Arabidopsis thaliana: one gene and its partner. The protein of the gene in region 1 interacts with the protein of each later gene in a pairwise test. Each region holds a gene or a part of one and is shown on either strand. Other genes may lie near its edges.

What was found. The genes of interacting proteins can lie anywhere in the genome.
Region 2: the proteins of AT4G31100 (region 1) and CYCA3;3 interact in a protein complementation assay, tested with the Arabidopsis thaliana proteins (one large-scale study listed by BioGRID).

What each region holds. Positions count from the first base shown.
Region 1 is NC_003075.7:15,121,863-15,127,631, forward strand, and holds AT4G31100 (wall-associated kinase), read left to right. Parts: upstream 1-1,900; 5' UTR 1,901-1,999; coding exon 2,000-3,005; intron 3,006-3,122; coding exon 3,123-3,233; intron 3,234-3,320; coding exon 3,321-4,564; 3' UTR 4,565-5,022; downstream 5,023-5,769. Other genes in the region: AT4G31080 (integral membrane metal-binding family protein (DUF2296)), read left to right, coding at 1-46, 334-865, 957-1,210; AT4G31110 (Wall-associated kinase family protein), read left to right, coding at 5,395-5,769. UniProt on the Arabidopsis thaliana protein: Serine/threonine-protein kinase that may function as a signaling receptor of extracellular matrix component.
Region 2 is NC_003070.9:17,301,634-17,305,716, forward strand, and holds CYCA3;3 (Cyclin A3;3), read left to right. Parts: upstream 1-2,042; coding exon 2,043-2,246; intron 2,247-2,419; coding exon 2,420-2,652; intron 2,653-2,755; coding exon 2,756-2,908; intron 2,909-2,988; coding exon 2,989-3,172; intron 3,173-3,270; coding exon 3,271-3,405; intron 3,406-3,489; coding exon 3,490-3,564; downstream 3,565-4,083. Other genes in the region: CYCA3;2 (cyclin-dependent protein kinase 3;2), read left to right, coding at 1-58, 143-295, 381-564, 663-797, 880-951.

The DNA.
Region 1 (5,769 bases):
ACTTAAAGAAAGGACCAATTATTATACCACACAACAACTTATTCAGGTGAGATTACTAGTCTTGAGAACACAGAGAATTTGTGGTAATTCCGTTTATGACAAGTACTGATTCTTCCAACGGTTATCATTTATAGTTACTGGATAGTGAGTGACTATGTTTTCGAAGATTGTTGTCCATATTTTGGGATAATAGCAATTATGAATAGAAAGTTGGAATCTTAGTCTGACATGGCAGTTGGAATTCATTGTATTTAATGCCAACAGAGACATGCATCTATGCCTGTATATAGCAATAGAAATACATAAAGTGGTTTTCTTAAGTATGTCTCGTAGGCGTGGCATAGCCATGCAACGAAAGAGAGATCAATGTTTGCCGACTTGAAGAGGTTAACTACTGCATGTAGAGCTGGTGCTAACAGAATTGTTTTGATGCAGAGATATGACCCGGACCCAGCTGCAAAGGCAGCTGCCGCAACTGTCCTGGCATCCAAATTGGGTGCCGATTCAGGCTTGAAAGTATATTTAGGAGATGAATCCCAACTCGATCCATCCTCGGGCAAGAGCAATGACATGGAGGTTAACCAATCACGTGGGTTGAGGAATCGAAGGCAACCAAATACAAGACCCCACGGTTCTGGGAGCACTTCAACACATCATTCTGATGATGAGTCTCACCATTCTGGAACAAGCGAGAGATTTCCAGGCACCACAGAGCAAAACCAGCAGATGTTGGTTGAGCATTACAGCCCTCAGGGATATGCTGCTCATGATGGCAGTTGGATCTCACGCATTGCGGCTCTACTTGTGGGCGAAGATCCCACACAATCATATGCGCTCATTTGTGGAAACTGTCGTATGCACAATGGTGAATGAATGTTTAAGCAAATCCTTTACCTGAATCTTTCAACTATATACTTATTTCTAACATAATTTTGCAATATGCTTTGTAAATGCAGGACTTGCTCGGAAAGAGGATTTTGCTTACATTACATACTATTGCCCTCACTGTAATGCTCTGAACAAACCGAAGCATTCAGAGGAGAATGTACTTCTTCCTGCTATTTCCGCTTCACCAATCACAGACTCTCTGCCACTGATTGAGACCAGCGAAGTGGTTAATAGCAGCAGCTCGAGTAGTGAACGTGGAAGTAGCCCCACTCCAGAAATAAAAGAGGAAGCTGCAATTACTGAGACCGGGACACCGAGCTGAGGAAGATCCAGTGAGCTAAGAAGAAGGCTTAGTCGTGTTGGTGCTACAGAGAAGAGATTTTGTGTGTGCATGTGTGTTTGTGGATGCGAGTACTCATTCAGGTAATCTTATGCTATGGATTGCTAATATATGAAGGTGCTTACAGTTTTGATTCTGGTTTGTTTCTATACAACAAGACAATAGGGTTTTGGTGGGTAAATATGCGATTCTACTGTCGTAAACGACGATTGTTATACGTTTTGGGGGTTTGAATTCTAATTATCTTTTACCATTACAGATTGTCTCTGTTTCTGTTAAATGTATTCACTCTTGGATGATGGATCATTCCCTTTTCGATTTTAGCACTACGAGCCTACACCTTTCTTATTAATCTTCTTCAATATTCAATTTATTGGATAGCGTTTTTTTATACCTAACTCTGCTTTTTCATTGTTTTTTTTTTTGTTGTATTTTACTAGTTCATGATATGAATATGACTTTTGCGATAGTAGATTTTTAAAATTATCTTTAGTAAATTAATTACCAAAATTGTTTGCAAAACACGTGATGATCTACACTTTAAAGACTTTGAAATATATTTTAAACTGGTAAAAAAGATGCTTTCCGCCATAAAGTTGATCTCATCAAGAAACACAAAGAGAGGTAGCAATTAAAATATTCAAAGATGAAGAGCATTATTAGCACGAGCAACTCTTTTCCTCTGTCTCCACTTACAAAGGAACAAAACTTGATCTGCTTTATAGTAAAGAACAAAACTCAGGAAGTTCAAATTTGCTTGGGCAGAGAACCATGAGCTACAAAAATACAAATAACTCTCACTTGATTCTCTTCAAGCTGTTACTTCTTCTGATCCTTTATTCTGCAGATCTCACAGCTTCAAGCTCATGTCGAAGTGAATGTGGAGGATGCAAATGTGGAGGAATTGCGATCCCATACCCTTTTGGAATCGGTAAGGGCTGCTATCTCGAGAAGTCATACGAAATCGAATGTCTTAATACTTCAGGAAAGCTTGTCCCCTTTCTTTCTGTAATTAGCAAAGAAGTTGTTAGTATCCATCTTCCTGGTAGGCAATCCTTTGGGTCAGTTCGTGTCAGAAGTCCGATAACATCCGCAGGATGTTCTAGTGATGGAAAAGACTCCGCACCAGTAATGAACTTGACGGATAGTCCTTTTTTCGTTAGTGACATAAACAACCTTGTGGGAGTTGGTTGCAGCAGCAAGGTGTCGTTGGAGCATATAAAGCAAAACATGGTGGGATGTGAGTTGAACTGCAGTACGACTAACGCGTCGGATAGCAACAGCATCCCTTTCTTCGACAAAACGGGGTGCTCTTTTTCTTATACTTTCGCCCAGGTTTGTACAGGAAACAAACCGGAAGATATGGGATGCGATGGTAGGGGATGTTGTCAAGCGAGTCTACCTAGAGAGCCTCAACAAGTTATTGGTATCAGAATAGAGAGCAATGATGGAAAGTCAACAACAAGTGGAGACTGTAGAGTCGCCTTCTTAACTGATGAATTCTTCAGTTTGTCGAAGCTGACCAAACCAGAACAGTTACATGCTAAGAGATATGCTACATTAAGTCTAGGATGGATAATGCAGACGAGGAATACTTCCTTCGTCAACTCCTTGGCCTGCAAAATCAGAAAAGACACGGACACTGCTTACTCTAATGACCAGAGTATAAAGTGTATATGCGACTACACCATGAGCATCATTTCTGATATTAGGTATGCCAATTGTGAATGCAACCTAGGTTACAAAGGTAACCCATATGATTCGGACGGATGTAGAGGTCAGTATTATGTTCTTTCCTTATGCCCTCCTCTTTTTTTGTGTGTGGAAGCAAGCATCCTTTCTAGAGAAGTTTCTTTCATCGTTTGACTATCGTATTTTCATCTTTCAATTATAGATATTGATGAATGTAAAGAGAATCCCAAATATTGTAAAGAAACAGACACTTGTGTGAATTTCGAGGGAGGCTATCGCTGTGTGGGCGATAAGACTAAAGCAATAATGATAGGTAGGTCACTGATTTTTGTTCCACAAATTTAGAGCTTTTAAAAAGCAAGTGATGATCAACCTATAATATTCTTGTGCGGTTTGGCAGGGGCGGGTACTGGTTTTGGGGTCTTAGTCCTAGTTGGTGGAGTATGGTGGTTGAGAAAGTTTCTAGTGAAGAGAAGGATGGCAAAGAGGAAGAAGAAGTTCTTCAAACGTAATGGAGGACTACTGTTGCAACAAGAATTGAATACAAGACAAGGCGTTGTCGAAAAAGCAAGAATCTTCACCTCGAAAGAGCTAGAGAAAGCCACTGAAAACTTCAGCGAAAACAGAGTTCTTGGACATGGTGGTCAAGGTACTGTGTACAAAGGTATGCTTGTAGATGGTAGAACCGTTGCAGTCAAGAAATCAAAAGTTATAGATGAAGACAAACTTCAAGAGTTCATCAATGAGGTCGTGATTCTCTCCCAGATAAACCATAGACATGTAGTCAAACTCTTGGGATGTTGTCTTGAGACAGAAGTTCCTATTCTGGTTTACGAGTTTATCATCAACGGAAACCTCTTTAAGCATATCCACGAAGAAGAAGCTGATGATTACACTATGATATGGGGAATGCGTCTACGCATTGCTGTGGATATTGCAGGAGCTCTTTCTTATCTTCATTCTGCTGCATCTTCTCCAATTTATCATAGAGACATCAAGTCAACAAATATATTACTAGACGAAAAGTACCGAGCCAAGGTGGCTGATTTTGGAACATCAAGGTCAGTAACCATAGATCAAACTCATTGGACAACGGTTATTTCAGGTACGGTTGGGTATGTGGATCCAGAGTATTACCGGTCCAGCCAATATACTGAAAAGAGTGATGTTTATAGCTTTGGAGTCATTCTAGCGGAACTTATCACTGGAGATAAGCCTGTCATAATGGTACAAAACACTCAAGAAATAATAGCCTTGGCAGAGCATTTCAGAGTTGCCATGAAAGAGAGAAGACTTTCTGACATCATGGATGCTAGAATAAGAGATGATAGCAAACCGGAACAAGTGATGGCAGTAGCAAATCTGGCAATGAAGTGTTTGAGTTCTAGAGGAAGGAATCGTCCGAATATGAGAGAAGTTTTTACAGAGTTGGAAAGGATTTGTACGTCTCCGGAAGATTCACAGGTGCAGAACCGGATTGACGAAGAAGAAGAAGAAGATGGAGTAGAAGAAGAAGAAGAAGTTGTGACAATAGTACACAGAGGAGATTCTTGGAGCATTGGTGTTACTGCTCCAGCCTCAAGTATTGTGGCTTCACCTCCATCTTCAGATGTTGAACCATTGAATCCTCTTCTCACATGGTGACACTCAATCAGATCTTAAAGTAATGATGATGAATGAATTTGATGTATCTCGTTAGAAATGTTTTCTGTAATAAATTTGAGTAGTTGTTAGTCTGTGTTTCCCGCTTAAGAACGTTTGTTGTGTGTTTATTATTCCTAACGTTCACCTTTGTGCCTCACCGATCACAGACTCTCTGCCATTGATTGAAACCAGCATAGTGGTTAATAGCAGCTGTCGAGTAGTGAACGTGGAAATAGCCCCACTCTAGAAATAAACAGAGGAAGCTGCGACTGCTGCGACCGGTACTCGTTCAGATAATCTGTTTTTGCTAACGTAGTCACTCTTGAATTTGGATCATTTTCGATTTTAATTCTAGGAGCCTAAAGTTTCCTCGTGTTTTTCTCGTGTTAGTTTATTTTATTCAGAAATGAATAAAGTTAGTTATGGACGGTGTTTTTATACCCAACTCTGCTTTTCAAGTTTTTATTTTTTATTTTTTTGTATTATACGATTTCATGATGATATGAATATGACTTTTGCAAGAAACTGCATTTTTGCCAGAGTAGTTTTTTTATCTTTCTTCTGTAATCAATTACCAACAATGTCTTTCCAAAAAGAATTGATGATCTCCACTTTACAGACTTTCAACAATATTTAAACCAGTAAAAGAGAAGCTTTCCGCCATATAATTGATCTGATCAAGAAACACAAAGAGAGGTATCAATAAAATATCCAAAGATGAAGACCATTAGCACAAGGAATCTTATCCTCTGTCTCCACTTACAAAGGCCATCTGCTTTATAGTTAATACAATTAACTCAGGAAGATCAACTTTGCTCTAGTAGAGAAACATGAGCAACGAAAGTACAAATTGCTCTTTCTTCTTGAATCTCTTCATGCTGTTACTTTTGCTGATTTTTTATTCTGCAGATGCTTGTCAAAGGGAATGTGGAGGAATCTCTATCCCATACCCTTTCGGAATCGGAAAAGATTGCTGTCTCGAGAAGTATTACGAAATCGAATGTCGTAACACAACTTCAAGAAAGCTTGTTCCTTTACTTTCTTTTATTAACAAAGAAGTTGTGAGTATCTCTCTTCCGAGTGCAGATAGTCATTTTGCTTATGAAGTATCTGATCAAGAACGTCATGAATCATTTGGCTTAGTTCGTGTCAAGTTCCCGATTACATCCGCCGGATGTTTCAACGATGGAAAAGAGTCTGGAGGC
Region 2 (4,083 bases), on another chromosome or scaffold:
AGACTGTTAACAAGCAAAAGCTACAGCTTGTTGGAGTTTCTGCTATGCTTATTGCTTCGTAAGTGTTTTATGATTCTTCCTCTCTTGTGTTTGTTGTCATTGTTTATGTATGGAAGCTAATGGAAGTATTGAAATGTTGTAGGAAGTATGAAGAGATAAGTCCTCCTAAAGTGGATGATTTTTGTTACATTACGGATAATACGTTTTCGAAACAAGATGTTGTGAAGATGGAAGCTGATATACTTCTTGCTCTTCAGTTTGAGTTGGGAAGACCAACGATTAATACTTTTATGAGGTTAGATTTGTGTGTATTGGTGATGATTACTTATTGGTTTGTCTTAGTTTCATTGTTCTGATTTTGTGTGTTGGTGTTTGTGTAGACGGTTTACTAGAGTTGCACAAGACGATTTCAAAGTTCCACATTTGCAGCTAGAGCCTCTTTGTTGCTATTTGTCAGAATTGAGTATATTAGATTATAAGACTGTGAAGTTTGTGCCGTCTCTGTTGGCTGCTTCTGCTGTTTTTCTCGCTCGGTTCATCATCCGTCCGAAACAACATCCTTGGGTAAGCATATTTGTCTCAGTCTCTTTCAGGTTTTAGTCTGCTGTGGTCATTGTTTAGAATGAGACACTAATGATTTATGGTTGTGAATATGTAAACAGAACCAAATGTTAGAAGAGTACACAAAGTACAAAGCGGCTGATCTACAAGTGTGTGTTGGAATCATACATGACTTGTATTTGAGCAGAAGAGGAGGTGCTTTACAAGCTGTTAGAGAGAAATATAAGCACCATAAGGTACTTAAACATTACACATTGATAAAATCATTTGAATAAGCAGAGCTTTCTTGATACTTAATGTTGCTTCTTCTCGGTACAGTTCCAATGCGTTGCGACCATGCCTGTTTCACCAGAGCTGCCGGTTACCTTTTGGGAGGATGTTACCATTTGATCTGAGGTTATGCTATCTTAAGCAAATGTTACGGAGCTGGATTACCGAATCTTGTTTCAAATAGTATAATGGACACAGATCTTCAAGTGAAGCTAGAAGAGTAAGAAATATAGAAGTGAAGGCAGGAGCAAATAAGTCTGCGTTATGTGAAGATGTGTGATGTATTATTGAAATCTCTTCTTTTTTATTTACAAAATTTTAGTGTGAAATTCGGAATAATATAATTTTATACAATTATGCAATATGATATAAGTATTTATGTGACATGATCTTATTTTGTTTAAGCATTGAGCCTACTACTGTATGTTTATACTTAATGAAAATTCCTAGAGGGCTAAAACTCTAGAAGACATTGTTGTTAATTTAAAGAAACTAATGAAAATCTCAAGAAACAAAAGAAAAGAAAAGATTGTCTATGAGATTGATAATCAAGTTTACTAAAGAGAGATTAAACTTGAGAAACAAGAAACAAGGGAGCTTTAGCGATGACTTGAAAAGTTTCGGTGTGAAGATCCAAAGACAAAACCATGGTTTCAACTTTCACCCTCGTGTGAACCAGTGAAGTGAGCCATCAACATACACAGGATCTTGGGTGTGAGAAACCAGATAAGGGGATGCAGGACAACGTACCTCCAAGTGTTGGTTGCAAAATCAAAAACTTCACAAGTTGTAGCGTTCTCGTTTAGGCCTAACTCAGCGGAATAAGCAAATCAAATCGAAATTATAATTAGGGTTCTACTTTACAATTTTCTCCAAAGTAAAATTACAAGTTTTAGATTAAAAAAAGATAATTATATGTAATTACTTTTTGAGATTTTTAATCAAGTAAAAAAAGGTAATTTCTCTAAATTAACACGTTTTGGAACGATTTTTTTTTTAATTTCCTTTTTTTAATTACTTGGGATTTCGTGTTCAACAAGTTATTGTTTTGGGCTTTGGTTTAATTTTCCTTTTTTTTTTAGTCTGTCTCATCTCTCATCTGAATTCTGAAACCTGGTTGTTTTAGGATAGAGTCTTCTACTCTATATATAGGACTTAGTGTAAGATTTATTGTTGTTCTTTCGAAGATGTGTTCTTGTTTTTCGATAAATATGGTGTCTAAGAAAGATAAACAGATTCATTCCGACCATAACCCTCAAGATGCTTCCCCGGTAGAGTGGGCGGAAATTCGACATAAGCTACTTGCGTTTCAAGAGAACATTCAATCAGGCTCTGACATTGACGCTAGGTCTGATGATCCACAGATGTGTGGACTTTATGTCTCAGATATCTACGAGTATCTCCGTGAATTAGAGGTACGTAATAAGATCTCCTACTTGCTCTGTTTTTGGACTTAGAACATTGACAAGTTTCAATAGGTCAATTTAGTATACTTTATCTGAAGAGTTTCTATGATTGTTCTCTGTTTGGACTTAGAATTTGTGGATATGTTCTGAAGATTTGTGTTTTTGGTTTGGTGAATATTCAGGTGAAGCCAAAGCTAAGACCTTTACATGATTACATTGAAAAGATTCAAGAAGATATAACACCAAGCAAGAGAGGTGTTTTGGTAGATTGGTTAGTGGAAGTTGCTGAAGAGTTCGAACTCGTGTCTGAAACACTCTATCTCACTGTCTCTTACATTGATAGATTCTTGTCATTAAAGATGGTTAACGAGCACTGGCTTCAGCTTGTGGGAGTTTCTGCAATGTTTATCGCTTCGTAAGTGTTTTTGATCCTCTTGTATTACTCTCTTTGCTATTCATTGTCATGTTGAAACTTACATATGGAGTGGCTTCTCTTTTTTGGCATTTGATATAAATAGGAAGTATGAAGAGAAACGTCGCCCTAAAGTGGAGGATTTTTGTTACATTACGGCTAATACTTATACGAAACAAGATGTGTTGAAGATGGAAGAGGATATACTTCTCGCGCTTGAGTTTGAACTAGGAAGGCCTACGACAAATACTTTTCTAAGGTTAGAATTGTGATGAATAATACTGACTTTTGGTTGTATCTTATGGTTCTTTGTTCTCATCTTTTGTTGTGTTTGTGCAGACGGTTCATAAGGGTTGCACAAGAAGATTTCAAAGTGCCAAACTTGCAGCTAGAGCCTCTTTGTTGCTATCTGTCAGAACTAAGTATGTTAGATTATAGTTGTGTGAAGTTTGTTCCATCTTTGTTGGCTGCTTCTGCTGTCTTTCTCGCTCGATTCATCATCCTTCCTAACCAACATCCTTGGGTAAGAACTTTTGTCTCAATCTCTCTTTTTCAGGTTTATATGTTGAGTTAATCTTTTGAATGAGACACTAATAATCTATGGCTTGTAATGTAAAACAGAGTCAAATGTTGGAAGAATGCACAAAGTACAAAGCGGCTGATCTACAAGTGTGTGTGGAGATCATGCTTGACTTGTACCTGAGCAGAAGTGAAGGTGCTTCAAAAGCTGTTAGAGAGAAATACAAGCAACATAAGGTAATTGACATATTACAAATTATGAAATCATTTGATTTAATTAGTAGTATCATTTATACTTAAATGTTGCTTTTTATGGTACAGTTCCAATACGTTGCGGCAATTCCTGTCTACCAAGAGCTTCCGGTTACCTTTTGGGAGGATGTTGTTACCATTTGATCAGAACCAATCTTTCATTTCCCAATTGTTACTGAGCTCGATTACTAAGGGACACTGATCAACAGTTGAAGCTAGAGGAGTCATATGTTATATGTATCGAAGTGAAGCAGGAGCAAATAATTTGTGTTGTGAAGATGTATTGTGTTATTACTTGATTAACATTGTGGTGACAAATTAATGTGTTACTCTGGAAATTTATACGATTATGCAATATGATAAGAAGTATTTTATGTGACATGATTTTATTTGTTTAATCATTGAGCCTCCTATGACAAAATTTATAAGTTCCTAGAAGGCCAAAACTTTAGTAGTCAATAATTTACTTCAAATGGTATCGAAACCAGATGAATGGGAAGACATGACAAGATAAGCCTTTAGACTTGCTATGATCCTTGACAAAAACAAAACAAAACAGAAATTGTTCATTTAAGTCAATAAAAAGGCAATTTCTACAAGTGAACCCTTATTGGAAAGATTATTTGGTAGAATTGGTCTGGTCATTTCCAACATACGTTTATT